2 linked regions of the Drosophila melanogaster genome follow. The protein of the gene in region 2 interacts with the protein of the main gene of each other region in a pairwise test. Each region holds a gene or a part of one and is shown on either strand. Other genes may lie near its edges.

Region 1 (10,822 bases), on a different chromosome or scaffold from region 2:
TCTTTTTCTGGTTCACATGTCTTCGTTTGTCTAAAAAAAAAAATTTCAAACGATTTTCTTCGGTGGTTTTCCACATTTTTGTGTGTGCAACGTAACACGTTTTCCAATTAAAATTACAAGAAAATTGTTTTTCTTTTTTCTGATTTTCTGGTTGTTATTGTTTTTGCTTACCTGTCACTGGCAAAAAGAAGAGCGTAATCCAGACAGAGAGCGAGAGAACGAGCGTGAGCGAGAGAGCAGCATCGTGCGAGAGAGAGAGCAAAAATCCTTGTGCTGGCACTTTTCTTTACAAATTTTCTTAATATATCCTTTTGTTGTTGCTTTCTTCTTGTTGTTGTTGGTGGCAGGCCAATGCAACAGGTAAAATAGAGAAAATATGGAAAAAAAACAGAACCAAAACAGAAACACCGAAAACGAAACAGGCAAAAGGGCAAACACAAAAACAAAAAAAATAAAGAAAACAAAACACAAACTTTGTCAGCACTTGAAAAAAAAATCGTTTTCGTTTCTAATTTTCTCTTTGTTGAACGCGCGCCATTTTTCTTCTTGCCTTTCTTCGAGAAGGTTTTTTCTTAAATAGACTCTTTTGTAATTATTTAAATTAAATTGCTGTTGTTTTTTTTTTTATTTTGCTGGCGAGAGCCGCGGTTTTCGAACTGCGACGGCGCGCCTTTGGAAACCAACTGAAAAAAAAAACACAGCAATCAGAGAGCGAGAGAGGATGAGAGAAAGAGCGAGAGAGAGAGCGGCGACGTCAGCGCGAGACACGTATGTCGTTTAAGTCTTTCGTTTTGGTCGTTCTTGTTCTTGCTGCTGCTGCGTTGGCGCAAGCGAGAGAGAGAGAGAGAGGGAGAGAGAGCTGAATTTCAGGTGTGGCAACCGGCAAAATCACAAAAAAAATCTTATTTTATCCAAGTACACAAGAGACAGAGCGAACGATGGAACGACACGGGGCGAAACATCATTATGACCTGTCCAGAACTTAATGAGAACAGAGTTTTACATATGAAGACTACTTGTTTCTGGTTTTTGCATATTGGTTTTCGGCCTATATATATATATGTAGCTTAGAGATATACTATGTATGCAAGGCAGAGCCTAAGAATATAACTCCATCAATCGGAATTGAAATAACTAATTAGAAGAATCAGAAAGCTAACAGAAGCACTTTTATCTATTCAAAACGAAAACGTAGTCATAATATCGTTGGAGTTTCATACCTTTTTACTACCAAATCGTTTGATTGTTAAATGGAACGCAATTTATTTTATTGTCTAATGTAAAAGATAAGTTATCAACAAATTACATTGATGGATAATCTTTGAAGTAACACGTGTCACAAGAAATGTGATTTAAAATATTAAAATAAAAATGAAATGAAATGACTTGAAACATTTAACATATATGCAGGTTCCTTTAATCACCCCACTACAGAAACTGGAAATTTTTGAATAATCCCAATAAAATTGATCTGTGAAAAGATCTCTTGTGGTTTGTAGATTCGTGGTAGATTTGTTATAGATTTGTAATAGTTTTAGGCGCATGGCATGGATCGGATTCTTGGCTCTGTTTCTTCTCTTCTTATCTCTCTCACTGGCTCTCTGTTGAAAATCGGGTCGCTGCTTAGTTATTCCGCACAGGTGTGAGTGTGTCTGTAGGTGTGTGCGTGATACCTGTTTGTCCGCACACACACACACACATACGTACACAAACAGAAGAAACAGTCATCATCATCGTCTAAGCCAAGTTGCCTCTTTTCACCTTTCCTTTGGCCATTCAATTCCGCTCTCGCTCTCCCTCTCGTCCCCTCTCTTTCGCGCCCGCCTTCATCGGGCGGGAGTGGGAGGGAGAGGGCTAATGTCGCAAGTAGCCGAGATTCGATTCTTCTTCTACGCTGCCTTTTGAGCTCGCTTCCTAATCCATTAACATTTCTCTATCCCTCTCTCCCTTTCTCCTACTCTCTTTCTCGCTCTGTCTCTTTAGCCCTGTCTTCTTCCTCTTCTTCGCCTTCTATGGGCTCGGATAATTCTTCTTCTATCTTCACCATTAAATGATGACGACGCACTCGCAAGAGAAGAAAAACCCAATAAAAAAAAAAAATAATAAATAAGTCCGACTTCAAAGACTTTTATTAAAATTCAATCAATCAATCGCAAAAATGACAGTTCGATCTTCGCAATGATGAATGGATGGTTTTGAATCTAAAATCTTTGCCTTATCACCCACACTCTCATAATTATTTATCTATTTAAATATGCCATCGTTCAAAAATTTCCATAAATATACATTTTATTATTCCGTTTTTAAATTTTTTTTATTTTACAAAAGTACGTACGTATATACGATTCTGTATTATCGTATTACCCTATATAAAATAGTCACATAAATACCTATATTTATGATTCATGATTTAAAAGTGAATTAAAACACGTTTTAGCAAAATGAAATCATCTTCAAGCAAGATCATACCGTGATTTTGTATACTTCTGAAGAAGAGATCTGATTAAAACGTCAGTGATAAAAGGGCTTATTCTAGACGCCGAAAACCCATCAAAATTGATGACCAATGTTGGTGACAGATAATTTCTTTGTGCGACGTTGGCCATATAAATAATGTGTGTATTTTTTATTTATTTACTTTTTTTTTGCCACGCTCAACGATCAGCAGCGACAACAATTTAGAAAATTAGTTGCACACTCAACGAAACTCGTTCCATTGGCTTTCTAACCGGCAATGAGGCAAGCAGATCAGCGGTACAGTTGGCGGGGCGGCTAAGGGGGCTTAATTTTTGTAAGCGGCCGGGGGGGGGGGGGTGTGTTGGTGTTTCGATGGGGGCTTACAAGGGGGTGGCGAGTGGGCCAACTCTCCCATTACATCTGCATATGTGGCATGCAATTGGATCTGCCTGGCATATTCCAGATTGCCATTCAATTCGATTTGTGTTGTGTGGAGTAAGCGAAAAGCGAAGGAAAAAACCGAGAGCCGACATGGTGAATTCTCGAGCGGGGTAACCAGTTAAAAATGGGAGCTAGAGCTGGCCTCCAGTTACTGGCGGGGGGGGCGATAACTGGCGTGGAATATCTTCGAAATTGCTCGATGTCTCGTATTCATATGCATTAACAACCGCTGCTTGCTAGAACTTGCGAATCTCTCAAGTTCCAGAAACCAACAATTTCATAGATATTATCACACCAGCTGGTTAACTTTTTTAACTGTTCCTATGTTAAATTACTAATCTATGTCAATTTGAAACCGTATTTGGGTATATTTAATATGCTGAACTGAAGACACTTCGTGAAATCTTTGAAAACTATTGTTTACTCTCAAGTTTACAGTTTTCAATGAAGTTATTATGCGTGTTTGAACTTGAACTATCATGCTGTCACTTCCGATTTCGTCAATTGTTTTCGTTACCAATTCATTTTTTTTTTTTTTTTTCGTTGGCAACACCTCTGGCCAATTTGCTCGCCTGGACTTTTCCAAGCCAGTCAAATTTGCACTCGAAGTGGAAAACTTTCGACTGTGAGTGTTTCGGTCGGTTGTTGTGGCAAATATATAAATTTGTGAAATTGTCAGTGCCACAAGCAGAGATGATTTACCGCCCCGGGGGCTATGCCAGCGACTCATTTATCAAGCAAAAAATAAAGAAACCCGAAAATGAAGAGAGTTCTAAGTTGCGACTGGGAAACTTTCACCGGGTGTCGTTTCAACGCGGTGCGGCAATAAAAGGGGGGAGGGGGGACCACATTTTTTTTTGCAACTCTCGCACTTGAGAATCTCGGCCGGGGAATGGGGGGAAATGCTAGCAAATCATATTTTTGGTGAGGGCGGGATTGGCGGTTGGGGGTGTGGGATTTAGTTGGTCTCAAAGTCTCTGGGCTTTATCCTGGCCAAGCCGAGTCATAAACAAATACGGTTTGCTGCTGTTTTGTTTACATTCGCAGTGTTTGGTGCCCACCGACCGACGTCTTTTGGCCAGGGGTCTTTTGGTCTCTTGGCCAGACTGGTTTTTCTCCGGCCAAAAAAGGAAGTTGCTCGTAAAGTGGCGAAAGCCGCCAACTGACTGACCCAACAACAAAGTGTGCAAAATAAAAATTGCAAGAAGAAAAATCGTTAAATAAAATAATAAAAGCGCTTTCTTTCTGTCTGCCCCTTTTGTTTTTTCTTTGTGTGTGTGTTGTGTGTTTGTTTTCTTTCTATAAATTTTTGCGGTCTGCGTTTCTTCGATTCAACTATTTTCCATATTTTTCTATTTGATATTTTGGCAATTTTGGCGATTTTCACTGATTGGTTTTTAATTTTTGCATTTTTCGGTTTCTGTTGGTGGCACAGCAAAAAAAAAAAAAAGGGAAGAAGATCGAAATATTTACCGCCGCACTCACTCGAAAAAAAAACTCGTAACACTCAATTGGAATTTAATCGGCAGGTTGGCCTTTCTTTCTTTCTTTCTATCTTTCAGTTTACTGTTGTTGTCGGCTCCGATATTCTTGTCACTCTGTTCTGGCTGCCCACACGCTGGACGTATCTGTTGTGGGCCTGGGATTCGGGTTCGGATCAGAGTCACTATCGCACTGTCACTACAGTTGGTTACTTATTAGCCGCGCTGGCTGACCGTTCACGACGACGCTCCGCGAGCGACTGACCAGCGGATGCTAGCGCAGCCCACTCGCCGCCCAACCAAAACCGAAGGCATCGAACCTTCGAACCATCGAACCATCGAACATGTTGCGTTGCAGCCGCTACTCACAGGCAGTGCGACTTCAAACAGAGGCGCCGCTTTCGAGAGCGAAAGAATTGCATTGGTATGCTCATGACTGCCCAAGGAGCTTGCTTCATCATCAAACCAATTCATTATTATTATTTAGTTCTTATTATTGAGATTATTGTACATACTTAATAGCAAGTAATAGTTCTACTAAAATGCTAGCTTCATTTTATTTGAGAACTCCGCAGCTTCGGAGTGCACATTTCTTTGTTCTCTGCTCTGCGTTTAAGTTCTAATACTATTTAGTTACGCTGCAATTCCTAATAGCCCCCATCTACACCTCTGATGCAACATCGATTCCATGGCAAGGCTATGTTCGAGCGTGCAACATGCAGCATGTTGTGTTTTCATTCGAACAATTGTTGCTGCCACAGTGCGTGTTGGTGGTTCTAATTGACAGTTTTCCAGAACAACTTGTTGAGCTTATTGTTGTCTTAATGGGGTGCTTATCTACACCTGCCACCCCCCCCCCTCCCAGACTTTTGCTTGCCTCGCGGATTATTGGAGGACAATTCCACCCCCCCCCCCCCCCACGTCACACTCTTACACTCTCTCTATCTCACTCTCTGTCCGGGTAAATTGACGATTTGAATATTTACATAAACGATTCTGATTACAATTGAATTTATTATTTAGAGCAGCTACTTAAGCCGCTAAGTCGTTGGGTACATAGGACATACATACATACATACATACATGCATATGTGTATTCATTTGTCGGCTGTCGCTTGACAAATGATACCTTTTCATGGAACTTTTATTTGTTTATTTTGCTTTCTGGAAGGCACAATCTGCGGCACGCCGAGAATATTGAGTAAACACACAATTGCTGCTTGCCACGTGCAACGTGCTCGATGCTGGCAGCGAACGCGGTTCGAGTTGCAAGCCCCTTCAACAGGTTGCCAGGTTGCTCTACGAAAATAATGTAAGCTCCTTTACAAGTCCGTACGAAAATTAATTCAATACTCGGCTAAAAATAAACGCACTTGTTCTCAAGTACAAGCTTACACTCACACACATATGAAACGGAACCTAAGTAAATCCCATTGTTTTGGTTTTAGAACTGAGCAGGAGAATTTTGAAGAAGTTCTTCAATATTTACTCCCAAGAATTCGAGTGTATCCAAACTATTCGAATAGGGCCTTCTTCCGCGAAAAAAATCGCTTTAATTGCAGAGCAAGTCAGTCACCAGCCAAATGAACAGCTGTTTCGGCTCCTAAAAACTTTTGCCTGACCGCCTGCTGGCCGTTCCGCATTCTTGGAAGCGGAATTGAACAATTTGAGATTTTCGAAGGGGAAAAGCTGTTTCGCCTATCAGGTGGCCAAGTAGAAAGATATATACATTTCCAATCCAGTGCTGCGGAGACATCACCGAACGCTCTACGAGCTATAGGAAAATTCTCTATTGCGTCTTAATGGATTCACAAAACATTCTCGTTTAGACATATTTCGCAGTGAAAGGTGATAGGGCCAAGAAAAACAATTGGCCGAAACCGAAATGCGAAGTAAACTTTTCATGCACAAAAACCAAAGCGTGCAATTCTTATATTTATATTTACCCAGAGATTCTCGCGCGTTTTATGACGAGGGTCATTTGGGGAAAGCGTGACCCGGCCGAAAATAAACAAAATAAATTTATTAACCATCTCCAAAGTTTAAACAGCCGTAGAGCATGTTCTCGAGTGGGGGGCAGTGCGCCAAGGTTGCACACTTGATCGCAATTCAAATAAATGACTGGCTTACACAAATTATATGCGAACTTATTAACTTAAGCCAATACATCAAAATATGTTTAAATATTATATCAAAAATAATAAAGTTTTTATTTCAAGAAATTCCCCACCAACCATAACATTTCCTAAGTTATTTATTGAATAATCAGAAACCACGTAGATATTAACTATACGTACTAATCGTGTTGTTAATCTCGAAATTGGTTTAACTATTGTTCCGGATATGTAACTGGATGCAACGGATATGATATAAGGTAAATTATTTGGGTGAGCCCAAGTGCATGTGAGTAATTGGAAAAGTTTGACACGTTAACACGACACAAGTTGGTTAACTGATGTTATATTTTTTCAACAAGCTATTTTCCACGTAACCCAGGGGAAAAATAACCTTTGCTTAGCAAAAAAAACGGAAATCCGTTTAAAAATAAAGCTTAAACGACCACAGCTTTTAGCCAGCATTTCACTCTGGTTTATTGGTTTAAGCCAAAATAAACCTATAATATCGACTTTTAACAGCTTCAAAAAGCTAACACTTTTAAGCTTTAAGCTTTTGCAGAAAGCAGTGTTACTGTGACTTGGGAAAGTGACCGTTAAAAGCTTTTCTATTTCCTTCAACAACTTCTGTTAAGCCAAAAGAGCTTTTCCGAAAAATGTTACACCAATGTTAATGTAAGGAAATCGTTTTCTTTATTTAATCATTGTATTCTTAAGTCTACTGTAAGTAATCGTTTTAATTAGTAATTTTAATTTCTGTTGTGGATTCCATTCCGCGTCTCCTGCGTTTTTGCTTTCTTACTTTTCTTTTCTTTTTTTTTGTTACTTTTGCTTTAGTTTAGTAATAATATTCATTATAAGATACGAGTAATCTCAAACACAATAGAGACAGTTACAGAGCGACACACACATTTTAATTATATTATTATTGCTAAGACACAAGAAATAACGATTTTGAAATAAATGCTAACAAAAAAAAAATTAGAAAGAGTGCCAGCCCGGTTTTTTTTTTCAAACCGTGCCTTTCCAAAATTTCTTCTTTTGTGGTTTGCTTATTTTGAATATAAGGATTGTGGTTCACGATTATTTATTTGGCGGGTACAATAGATTTACAAATGGAGTTTTATGAGATTCTGGAAAACCTTTTGCTAAATACAATAATTTCCCTCGAATTTCTGCAATGGCTGACACAACTTTTCTTACATTTATCTCCGATTTTTGGCAAACATAATGGCGAACTACGAGTACGACTAGTATTTTTTATTCATTTTCATCTCAGCTTCACCTACAAATTATATGTATAGAATATAATCTGCAATATATAGGTATATCTGTATATATTTCATTAAGTATATTTAATATTTAAAACTCTTTGTAACATTTAATAAAGTTAAACATTGATTGCTCTTGCGTTGTGACAATAAGTTACTATATAATCATATAATCAATCTGTCATTATGTATACATATAGCTCATTTCTATAAATATATCTTTTACATCCTTGCATTCTCATCATCATTTTTGCCATCATCATCCAAATTCTCCATCATCTCGTGTTGATTATCCTTGACTATGTTTAATAATAAAAAAATTCTCTAGTTTTGTTTTACACACATCTTTTGTATTTTTCCTTCGTCGTCCAGCGACATTTTGCTCAGGTCAAATTAGAGGAAAGGGAAATTTTTAGTTACGGGTCTCTTTAATTCTCCACCCATTTCATATTGAAAATTGGGGCATTTTCCTTCATTTTCCTGGAGTGCTAAGAAGACGCAAACTCGTTTCCGGTTCGAATAGAGGAACACAGAGAGTAAATTAAATATTCGAGTATTTTGTTATGTACATTCTAAATATATTTATGACGAGGACATATATCCTATGTTTATGTGTACACTCTATGAGAAACAACAACATCGAGACTTATATAAAAGAAAACTTCAACGACTTGAGAGTGCGGCGATCTCTTCAATTCATATTTCCATTTTTAATCAAGGGTGCAAAAATAATACCCAAATCTTTTGTAAATATAAACCTAAATTAATTACATTTTTCCTATAATTTTATAGAGAAGAAAATAAAACAAATTGTGCAATATTAGCAAATTTAAAAAACCAATTATATGTGCACTAAAAAAAAGAAGGAACAAGTACTGTTTGCAAAATATGAATGAATACTTTCAGATGATTTTTAAACGAGACAGTTTTTCCAAATATTCGATTTCATCGAATTGCACTACGTTACATGCCACACACACACAAAAGCCGAAATAAAATTGAAGAAATCATCAAATTCTCAAGTTGTTCGTCATGTATGTAGTAGTATTATTATTATTAATTGGGGTTATTGGATTTCGGGCCTGGTCTACTCGAACTAAAGGCTGGCTGACCTGCTGGGCTGGGCAAGCAGCCAGCCCAGTTCAAAAATAGTTGAATTTCCACATCGTTTTATTGCTGGTTTGGCGATAAATCGTTTTGCTCTTAGCCTAGATTTCATTTTCATTGTTTAGTTAGTTTTCACTAATGTTTTAATGTTGCTTGGTTTTTTTTGCTTGATTTTTGTTTTTAGGTACCATGGTATATTTGTCAATTCTTTTCAATTTTGATTGCGCTGGTTGATTGAATCAATCAGGGTTAAATGGTAACTGGTAAATGGAAAAACGAGCTAGTTCGAAAAGCACCTGAGGATTTCCACTTTCTAATTGCATTGGATTCTGTTCTATAGGTAAATAGTCTGTGGGATTGTACATATATATATTAGTTAGTTTTCATTTTGGTGGTTTTCTTTCATGCGGTGGTTCACGACGGTTCTACACAACATCCAAAAAAAAAAAAAAATGAGGAGTAACTAGGTCCTAAGTAAATAGTTATTTTTTAAGTCGCTCTTTTTCCACTTTTTTCGTTCTCGCTAGTTATTCACTAATATATCAATTCCTGAATATACAATATATTGATTTAATTTCATGTGTTTTTTTGTTTTATTTTATAAACTGATTACATTGAGTTGCGTGTTCACTTGAAATCGATTGATAATGGAACCTGTGGAGAGAAAGTAGATTTTATTATCTTAGGTGATTTCATTTAGGAAAAAATATTTTTAAAAATCTAAAAACTTATAATTGCAAATCAAAAGTGGCAAGTGTTTCAATTCATCATGGTCTAGTAAAATAATTTAAACCATTTAAATGATAGAATCTAAAATCTGGCCACCAAGTTAATTGCAGATATAAATCGTTAATAATTTACGGCCAGCTGTCAGAAACTGTGCTCACTCCACTAAAGGACACTCGGTTATTTCAGACCATTAATTTTGCCCTACATGATTATGATCATGGTGCTTAGCGAGGACCAAGCGATGTTTGTTTGTCCCGCACATTTTGCAAATCAAATGGCCGCCGGCAGTTAGCTTAACGCAATTCAGTTGGCAATGGCAATTGCATTTTGATTTTCTATAATTAGTTTGCCGGGGCGCCGGCCAAGTGGCCAGGATGGGAATGCAAACTAACACGCGTTTCAATTAAACGATGCCCACATTAAATTAGCCTTATTGAGCGGACTGCAGGGTGGGCGTGGCCAATGGGGGGCATGGACAAGCCATTAAAAACACGAGGAAGATGATCCTTGCTCCATGGCATTGGCAATGGTGCAGTTGTTTGCTGCGGAATATTACTCATACGCCACGTTGGCCGCATTAGAAAGATGCTGGGTTCAGGGTTATGCGGCAAATAGCCTTGCAGCGTCCTTGGCCCCCATTTTCCTCCACACCCACCCCCTCTCACTTTAGTGTCCTTGAGCCAAAGCTGCATTTCATTATGTGCGTAGGTTCTGTGTGTGTGTGTTTTTATGTTTAGCTGCCCGGCAGTGGGATTATTAAAAATGCACACAGCCCATTGACAAATGTCAAAAATAAAATGTTACAAATACGACAAAAAAAAAAAACGAAAAATGTAAACATAAAACTGGGCGAAACTATAATTTTAGCACAACTTAGGTTTCACACGAGCACTTCGTATGTCTGCAATTAAAGGACCCCATTTTCACAAGGATTTTGAATAATTTGTGCCACAAATTATGGCGAATTTCGAAAGAACGTATATAACTGAAAAAATGTACACAAAACCAAGCGAATTGTGGGTAAAATGAAAGTGAATTGAGACAGAAATTCAGTGAAATACCACTTACGTTTTGGGTAGTTGTTCTGTTTTTTTTTTTTTTTTTTTTTGACCACTTGGGAATTTTAATTATTTCGAGGATGGGTATCGAGTGTTGCGCTATCTTTGGTTTCCTGTTGTCCTTTCGTCCTTAACACACCAATTAAATATTATTTGCAATTGTC
Region 2 (10,400 bases):
TATTTGCGAGCACTCATCCGCACAGCCCGGAATTTCGTACGAGCCACTTGAGTTCTTTCGTGGGTGCCTGTATTTATGACCGGGGCTTCATATTATCGCACACGATGTGTATATTTTTAAATTTAGCACTGACAGAGTTCACAAGCGTGTGGTCCTCCTTTCGTCGTCAAATCGGGAACTGCAATCAATCAATGTGATTTTATAGCCACCACCCCAACACTCGCAATCATTTGTGGTATTCTGAATCATTTACGGGCTTAACGATTCACTCTGGCAAAAAATCTATAAGCCCGATACTAAGAGTAGCAAGTGATGCCTTACGGGGCCAAGGGTCTGAAAAGGTTTTGGTTTAGGAATTCCGTGCTGGTTTCTCTTATTTGGAAACCATGAACTAGTACAGTTTGCATTAAATTAAATTGCAGCTATTCAATCTTAACTATTCATACCGATTTCGAGAAAGATTTCAAGAAAACTATGTCATGGAATGAGGGAAGCTATTCATACCCTATAGATTACATACGATCGATCGCATAATTCTGCGTACATCCCAAAAATAATTAAATGTAAACTTTAATCACAACTGGTTTTTAACCCATTTCGTAACTTAACTTTAATTTAATGTCTTCGTTAATTAAATCGTCTTTCAGATTTTTCAACAAATAAATAGACTGTTTTTAAAAAATACTTTGGGTATAGAATATAAATAGAATAAAAACTTTCTTATGTATCCTCCGCACTTATTATACTCCAAACCTCCAAAATGACATCATTCCGCTTTCTTTAAGTTAAAGTGTGTTTTTAAATTTTTCTTTCAAGAAGATCTCACAAATGCTTGATATGATTGAGATCAGGACTCAGGATTTTTAAATTTATACAGCAGCCATCGTTCTCGATTCAATGCAGTGTGCTTTGGGTCATTCTCTTGCTGAAGCCAATATATGTACATTTTCTATCCCCAATTTTTCAGCACTTGTTTTTATACCCATTATGTAAGTATGTAATGGGCAGAAGGAAGCGTTTACGACTATGTAAAGTATATACAGCTGTGTTAATAAAAGTATCAGTGCTTTGGACCTGAGAGTTTAAGATAAAAAATTCTTATGAATTACAGTTTTAATGGGAAATTTTTTTTTTTATAATATCTTTAGGTATTTCATTTCAAACAATTCAACAAATGTTTCACTTTTATTTGTTCAATAGTTTCGATAATATAGATTAAAGCAACATAAAAGGCAGAAATTCTGGTGTTCAATGAAATAGCAGTGCTATGAAAAAACCGTAACAAAATTCAAATTGACCTAGAACTAACATAGTTTTCCTTTTGAATACGTTAATTAGGGCCTAATACTTGGTTGGATAGCCTTTGTTAGCCAGCACAGCCTTACACCCACGCGGCATTGTTTAATGTCCCCCCACAGATTTTCAATAGGGCTTAAATCGGAAGATTGTGCTGCCCACGGCATTGCATCTATTCTATTTTGGGTGAACCTATTCTTAACCGATTTGCTTCTGCGTTTCGGATCATTATCCTGTTGGAATGTCCATTTTAAGGGCATATTATATTCAGAATATGACAGTAAGACATCAATAAGTATATTTACATCTGCGTTTTGGTCTGTAATACCATAAATCATATGTTATGGACTCATACCATTGTAAAAAAAACAAGCCCATACCAGGATTTTAGGTTCACCGTGATTGAAACTCTTCACTGGGTGTTTTGGGTGGTACTCGGTGTTTGGAGGTCGTCAGATATACTGTAGTGAACCAGTTCCACCAAATATCACTATTATTGACCTATCAGTCTAAAGGATATTACACCATTTGGAGACTGGCCAGTTTAGGTAGGTTTTAGCGAAGTTTCACATTGCCTTAATATGCCTTGGGCTAAGTACGGGAACCTTTCTGGGACTACTCGCAATTAAATTTCGATTAGGTAGTTATCACCGAATAGTAACGTCACTCAGCTCAGACTTTATCTCCCTAGGGGATGCAAAAGGATAGACTTTGGTACCACGGTTTTCGGCTTCCATTCATATTTAATGGCATTGGATACCATTTTGGCAGAATATTCAGGGGTTTTTTGAATGTCCTTGTATGTTTTTCCTTCCTTTCTTAGCTTAAAAATTAACATTATTTTCTCCTGGGAGCAGTGCTGTCCTCTACCCACTAAAATAATTTTTTTTAAATTATTGCCCCTTTAAATACGCGAATTAACTTAACCAAACTCACTTTTTTTTAGAAAATATTTATAATTTCGGGACTTTACGTTGGTCAAAACCAGACACTGCTATTCTTATGAACAGTCTAAAACTTGTGATTTTGCTCAATGTAATGTAAAATGTAAATAAAAAAAGGATAACATGAAAAACTAGCCGTGTAGTGCGTAATAAGTGTACGTGTAAAAAAGAGTCGAGTCCGAAAAGGGACTTGGAAGAATACCTTTGTATTACTCAGTTTCCTTCGCACTGCTATTTTTCTGAACACAGCTACATATATTTTTAATCAAGATCAATAGCCGAGTCGATTTGGCCATGTCCGTCAGTCCGTATAAATGTCGAGATCTCAGGAACTATTAAAACGAGAAGTTCGAGATTCAGCATAAAGATTGTAGAAACAAAGACGCAGCGCAAGATCGTTGACCCATGTTGCCACGCCCACTCTAGCGCCCAGAAACGGCATAAAAATGCCACGCCCAAACTTTTGAAAAATGTGTTTATATTTTTTCACGTTTTTATTAGTCACTTATTAATATTGAACAATATTTCGATTTCCGAATCGGTCATTTTATTTCCCAATATCTATCGATATCCCAGAAAAATGATGCACTTTCGCGTTCGTATACACACTAGCTGAGTAACTAGTATCTCACAGTCGGGGAACTCGGTATATCCGAGCATTATCTCTTGTTTTTAAAATATCTCTTTAGCGGGGTATTAAATAATAAAGAAAATTCAATTTGTTTTAAATTAATAGAAAGCACTGTTCATACATCTACCTTAGGTCACGCCTTCGTTCATGCATTTTCCACAATTGATTTCCTGATATTATCTATATACATTTTTAAACCAAAAAAGACAATAAATTATAATTTGGAAAAGCAAACCGGTACATTTTCAGACCAATAATAACGGTATGGAATTGTCAAAAATGTGTACGTTTTGCTTAATGTGAATTGTTTTTCCATTCCGAAAGTTTATTTTGCCTTCTAATACTCACTTCCGTTTCCGCTGCACAAGACCAAAGTGTGTTTCCGCTACCCTATTACCACTCCATTCGCCATTTGAAACTTTTTTCGTACTCATCGAACGAATTATAACAAAACCAATTTTCCATGACAAAAAGACAACAGGAAAAAACCAAATTACAAATCAGACAATTAAATACTCATACTCAATACTCGCAAAATGTTTGACATTTATTAATTAAAAATAGGATAAACTGTATATTAATTTTATTCAAATTGTCATCGGCAATAAAAGACAGCTTATTTCAATTTATTTCTTTGTTCCATTTCGATTTGTCATCTACATATTGTATGCAATACAGTGGCATAGATTAAAACAATACAAACATTACAAGAAACTGCATTTAGTACTCAAGAATGGTTACATGGTAGTGTATAGAGTAGTAGTATTTGGTTAGGGTTAATAAGGCTAATGTTTCAAAATGTGTTTTTAACTAAATCTATTAGTACCGCAAGCCCGTGTGTAATAACTCTTTTATGTTTCCTTTCGCCGATCAAAGAAATACATTTCTTCAAAAGCGTTGCAGCAAGAATAAGTAAAATTACCAGTTCCACAAAAATAGCCAATCTGAGCTGCAAATGACTTATATGTTGTATCGGCATAAAAATGTTTTTAACAAAGTCACTGCAACCTTGGGTGATAAGGTCGGGATGGTAGCAGTGGGTTGGAACCCCTTGTAGATAATCCATATAAGAACGGGGACCCTCCAGTCCACAGCATAAAACCTGTGAAAAGCAAAACCCTTGAAAGGGCAAATGAGCAAAGGCATAACACATACCGCATTTTCAATCGAAGGCCAATCTGTCTCGTTAAAATTGGAGTATGCCAGCCATTTAAGGTTTAAGCTATCCATGAATGTACTATAGCTCCTGTTCATGGCTTCTAGTTGTTTTGAAATTGTGAAGTAAGTCCAATGAAGGACGAGTATCTGCAGCGGTATAAGCTAATTTACAATTATCAACCTCACGTTTTTTTTTTGGTAAAGTCCTTACCCCGAGAACAAGCCAATCATCACGCAAATTGGCTAAGTATAGGCTGACCAAATTCAGGCAAATGGTAATGGAAACGGTACTTGTTAGAAAATTAAAACAGTTAAGCACATTAATGGTTATTTCAGCGCTTTTAAGTCGCAGAGTAAAGGGTATAATTACTCGAAATAACACAGCCAATACAAGCTAAGTGTAGAAAAGTTGTCAGTAAAAACTTGAAGACGGGCTGCTGATTAAATACTTACCCCAAATAAAATAGCAGTTAGCTTTTTTATCATGCCCTCTACCATTTTGAGAATTATTTTAATATACGTAGCTCAATTTTATTCTACGCAAATTGACAAAATATTCGAAGCTGGAAATAATGGCCTACCACATAAATTCAAATTTTTGTTTTCCCAATTATGTATGTATACGAAATCACGCAGGTTTTTCTATTTGTGTTTCAATTCCTTTTTTCTGGCAAAATTTCATTGTTGATTTATGGGATTTGCTATTTTTGACAGTTGTTTTTGCTACAACGAATGAGAGTGTGTGCGATAACTGTTTGTAGGTATAAACATGATTTTATAATCGGCTTTCTATATTAATTTTAATTTTATTTTCGGCATTTTATTATAATTACTCTTGATATATGTAAATGGTCATCGTTAGCAAAATTATCATTCCGTATATGGCTGTATTGTTGCTGCACTTGATGTCCACATGGATGTCCCTCAACTCGTTAGGAAATTTACTACGCACTTTTTGTTGTGGGTTTTCAGTTCGCCAATGGGCCATGCGAAAAAATATTTCTGTGGCTTTAAATATTTTAATTGTCGCTGTTGGCTCTGTTCTGTTATTTCATAATCGTATGCTCTTTGTTGTAAGTCAAAAAGGGTGTAGTTCGAAATGCACAATAAAAATTGTAATATTTTGGCAAAATATTTATAATTATTAATGCTAATTTCAACAAATCCAATGCATTTCTGGCATTCTATTTGGACGATGGCTAAATACTTTGGTGTTTTGTATCTGTTTGTGATATTTTAATTTTACTGTCGCATTTGATCATAAATTAAGCGATTAACAAATAAGGGGCACCGTGGGTTATGGGTGCTCTTTTGAATTCCCTCGATGTGGCAATGGATGGAAGGGGCCAGTAAAACTATATTGCTTTTGATAAATGCCGATGGTTAGGACTCAGAGTGCGCCGCATTGAGCGGTTTAGTACTTAGTACTCAAGTGATATTAGAATTCCTGGTAGATTAAAAAAAATAACAAAATAATTGAAATATGAAAATGTGTCAGAAATGTTTCATTTAATCATATCCAATCGCGTTTGCCATTCAAATAAATCTCAAAATATATAAAAACAAATTTTTTACATTACAGTGAAGTTTTTGATAAGCCATGTTCGATACAACTAAATACTTTCCGCGTTCAGTTGATTCCGAGCATCCGTCCCAGTCGGAGCACAATGAGTCCTTGTCACTGGATCATGTCGTCACCTACGATATGGTCCATAACCCGGAGGGAAGATCACCTGATCACAGTGTCATCGAAATGACATCGGAAGCTGACCGGCATATAGGACACGATGTCACTTCATCTCCCCAATTGATGATTATATTTGAAGAAGGCGACATCAACAGTGCACTGCACTTTATTATTGAGTCGGTTCATAATCCCTTTGCCTCGAATGCGGTGGCCATGGTTCTGGTTGAAGAGAAAATTCGCGGGGAGATCGTCGAGCGAATCCTGTCTAAGCTACATCCTCTTAGTAAGTTTGTGGCCGAACATCCTAGCTATCTGGCAGCACTGGAGAAATGCCACACCTCCAACTTTAACATAATAAGGGCCTGCATTTCGGAGGTTGCCCCACCAATGGCTTCACCCATTTTTGTGTGTGACTGTACGCACGATAAGCTGGGAAGTTACCCAACTGGAGTAGTAACATTTCACACATTCCGCAATAACCAGGAGGCCATTGCCATAAGTCAGTGCGAATCGTTGGCCTTCGCATCCGTCTCCATTTGGAACGAAACGCTAACTGGATGCTACGATCTCGTGGCGGCCCTCAGCTCGTCCTATTTTTTTCTAAACTGCGCCAACGTTGACTTGTCGCCAATTTTAAAGCCACACAAGGCCCAGAAAAATTACGTGGTAGTTGAAAACGGCTTTCACTTCGAAACCCTACGTATCTATGACAATTTCAAAGCCATTGTATTTCCCATTGGCGGACAAATATTGCCAGACATCGAGGATCACAAGGAGGAGCACGCAGCTATCTTCTTTTTGGAAGCTTAGTATTGGAATGACTTCCACGACTTCCCCTTTCATCCGATTTCGCAAAAGTGCTTGGCAGATTCAAAATTTAAAGTTATTTTGGGTGTTTTTATGGTTATTAACGTTCATGATGCGTGCCAATATACAATGTAAGTGCAGCTGTCAGCGGTAATAACAATATTTCTTTTCTTCCGGATATTGACTTTTTGGGCGTCTTAATGAACGCAGGTTTTTTGTATATAGGTTGCGAATTAATTCGACACAGCGTGACTAACTGTGTATTCGATTTTTTTAAATTTTATTGGGACATTGAGAAATGGTAAAATGTTGGTCTGTTATCTTTTCGCTTAAATATTGTTTTGTTTATTCGTGCCGAACACTGTAAGAATGTTTTCTAGCTCTGCAGCCGATACTTATATTCAACTTGGCAATCTGATACTGGGCATGACCGAATAAATTTACGATCGCACAGCATTCCGGAGTCACCACAAGCATCTGCCCCATAAAATCATTTTCTTTATGGGAGTATGATGAGCGTATGAGTGACGCCAAGTCGTCGCTTTTGGGCACTTAAGGTCTGAATCCAAAAATAAAGCCCGCTCGTCAGTGTAATTATCAGTTTTGTGTGTTTTTCTGCCTTGGAATTTATTCCCCATAAATCTCCCGCATGTATCTGGCCCAATAAGGGGGAAAGGCTTATCAGGTGCAGTCACACCCTCCTCTGGGCAGCTCATCCTTCCCAGGGCGTTGGGAAATTCATTATAAAATGCGGTTTGAATTATTTGTCAAAATGTCTGGTCCAGGACGCAGTGACATTGATGTTGACATTGACAGACAGACTGGGTCGAATGTCCCCGACAGACCAAGCCCAACTCACTCGCCCGATGTGACAAAATAAATGAAATTGTTAATGGCCAGTGAGTCACCGAGTTTATCGAGTTGGTAGCGTCATTATTGTCAGCTGCATCAGGACCTGTCCGACGGCCAATAAAGTCTTTTAAAATAGACATTTTATTGGTGAATCCATCCAGTGAAAACCCGAAATGGTCGATTGTCGCCATACAATTCAGCGAATCTAACATACCCTAATATTCCCAGAGCATCAGGTGACAAATTTAACATCAACATATTTAACATATACATATTTAATAGCCTAAAGGGGCAACAAATCAAGTTTGAGACTTATACAAAGAAAAATGTAGCTGGTAGGTGAAATGCATATGTTGCCTTTATTAAAGCCCAAGCTTTGATCCATATTCAGTGATCGTTGGAGCTTCCCATTAAGACATTTGAAGACCCATCTAGTACACCCATATTCAATGCAAGTCACTGCCTTCCGAGTCTCGAGTTAACTGTCAGTTTCAATCGTGTCTGCAGAACTTGTCACTCATTCAATAGTTTTGAAAATTGCGAATGTCACTTACAACCCAACAACAAGAGCCACTGCCTTGCACTTACAGCTCCCTCTTTTCTCAGGCACATGTGTCTGTGAGTGAGCATCCTTGCCAAGGATGCGGACTGAGACAATGTTGCCGGAGACGGAGAAGGATACTGCCACGAAGACAAAGTCGAGTCAGAAGGATGACGCGGCAGCAGACGCTGTGAATTAAAACAAGGCCAGAGAATAAAATAATAAAAGAACACGAAGACAAAGCATAAGAAAACTTGAATGTTCCCATACCGTTCCAGCCTCTCGTGTTTGTGTGAGGTTGACCCATAATAGAGAAGGGTTTTGGGGCCACTACACGGAAGAAAATATATGAGCCCTGAAGTCTAGTTTCTTTTTAATATGCTCATCTATACATACACATGCAAATGTATGTGTAAGTCTGAGATTTTAGTAGCGAAATATAGAAAATATCTAAAATACATTATAAAACCCTAGTATTTCCATCTATTTGTGTGTTAAAAAGGCTATAGTGAAGTATTTAGTTAAATTAAGACTACCTGGGCTATTAGATATCCGTTGCATAGCGACTCATTCTTTGAGTCAGTATTAATATAGAATTTATTTATTATAATTTTTATTGTAATTTTATTTTATTTAGAAGGATCAATCTTATATAATATTACTTTTTTCGCTTTTAATTCTAATTAAGTTAGTTAATTAAGCAAATTTTCATTTATTATTTAATTTGTTGTAATTAAGCAACAATAAGTCTTTGTGTTCTTAAGTCTAATTTAGTTAGTTACTTAGTTGGATAGTATTTTTTTTTTAATTTATTAATGCTTAATTAATTTTTAGCAGTGCGCTTGCGAGTGCAGTCCCTCCTTCCCTCACCCTTCCACGTTGCACTGAAAACGGGACAAACATGCACGCATCAAAATCAGACTTGTAATCCAAGTGCAAGTTCCGAATCCAAAAATCCATCCATCGCTTGCAGAACATCCTTCACCGAGGCTCCTCGCTCCCCTGCCCTCGTCCTGCCAGGATAGCAAGCAAGTAAGCAGGAAAGCAAGAAAGCAAGCAGGAAAGCAAGAAACCAAGCTGGCATCCAGCAAGCTCGCAAGTCGGGAGGCGGGAGGAGTTGGAAATTCGCTCGCCTGGTGTCACGTAGAATAGACATACAGACATGCAAGTGACAGACAGATGGAGAGACACTGTGACACGACACATTGACTGACAGCTGCAGGGATGCCAGTGGGCGTGGGCGTGGGCGTGGGCGGTTGCGTTGCCAATGGGGCGTGGCAGGTCTAAGAGGCTGCCACTGGGGTTGCAAGGATTTTGTGCAAGAAGTGGCGTGTGCAAACAAAACCGAAAGACAAAAGCATTGATGGACATGCACGGGGCTGCAGGAGAGCAGAATGAATTCCATCTTCCATCGCCGGTCAATGGAACAGTTTCCTTAGTCAGCATCTCCGTGGGGCATTTAATTTCAAAAGGATTGTTCGACGACTGCAAGTTAAAGAGGGGAAATGTTCAGGGATCTGAGAACATACTCGCTATCAATTCCTTTAAGGTCTTTTACGTTTTCCTCGTATCGTGATAGTAAGAAAAAAGTCCCCGAAATTTGTTAGATTTCCGATCCCGACATTTGCGAATCAATTTTTGAGGGCTTTAATTATTTCAATATTAGAATACAGAAGACCTTAACAATGCATTATTGAAATACCCATAAAATTAAAGCGAAAATGTGAATATTGTAAATTGTTGTATTGATGTAAAGCTATCATAGATATCATTGTGCACAAACGTATTGGCGTTTCATCTAATAAACGATTTTTAATTTAACCTTGACATCCATATGTATATTCGTCTAACGGCATCTTGTCTAGAATGACAAACATAATTTTTAAAACGTTTTATTAGATTTTATCCAAATGACCCATCCCCGGAACTTCTAGCTCCCGTCAACAGAAAAAAAGTACGGCTTTTATTGAGAGCTCAAGTGACGAAACCTTAGACGAAGGCAAATCATGAGACCACAGAAAGGAAAGGGGCGCAGGGAAGTGCCCTAAGGACGCTTTATGCAAAAAGTATTTTTAATTTCATTTTTTCACGTTTAATTTTTGCTTTTGCATTTTTTGACCAAGCTGAAAATCATAAACCGGAGCAGGGCAAGGACGCGAACGCGGATGCAGATGAGAACGGGCAGTGAAAAATAAATAAGAGTAATTAAATTTCGTAACAAACATGACGAGATAATGGACCGGAGCCATTAGCAGAACGTCGAGACAGGGCTGACGGTCAGTCAGGACCCCGAAAGATGACGAAAGCAAAGTCCTTTCCTCCCCAAGGACGGAGCCAACGGTGTGATGGAGCAGCTGGCGCCTGGAGTCATAGCGCCTCCCACTCCCCGGCCCGGTCGTCATATATCACGGATCCAAGCAGCAGAAGCTCCTGGTAATGTCCTGTGCATTTTTCAAACAAACGTACGTCACGACAATACTCTTT

The links. The genes of interacting proteins can lie anywhere in the genome.
Region 1: the proteins of CG31600 (region 2) and mgl interact in a two-hybrid assay, tested with the Drosophila melanogaster proteins (one large-scale study listed by BioGRID).

What each region holds. Positions count from the first base shown.
Region 1 is NC_004354.4:9,495,503-9,506,324, forward strand, and holds the start of mgl (megalin), read right to left. Parts: upstream 4,628-10,822; 5' UTR 4,372-4,627; intron 688-4,371; exon of another isoform or gene 474-687; intron 398-473; exon of another isoform or gene 172-397; intron 1-171.
Region 2 is NT_033779.5:21,910,776-21,921,175, forward strand, and holds CG31600 (uncharacterized protein), read right to left. Parts: upstream 4,584-10,400; 5' UTR 4,528-4,583; coding exon 4,483-4,527; intron 4,424-4,482; coding exon 4,241-4,423; intron 4,192-4,240; coding exon 4,027-4,191; intron 3,974-4,026; coding exon 3,665-3,973; 3' UTR 3,494-3,664; downstream 1-3,493. Other genes in the region: CG11634 (uncharacterized protein), read left to right, coding at 5,630-6,526.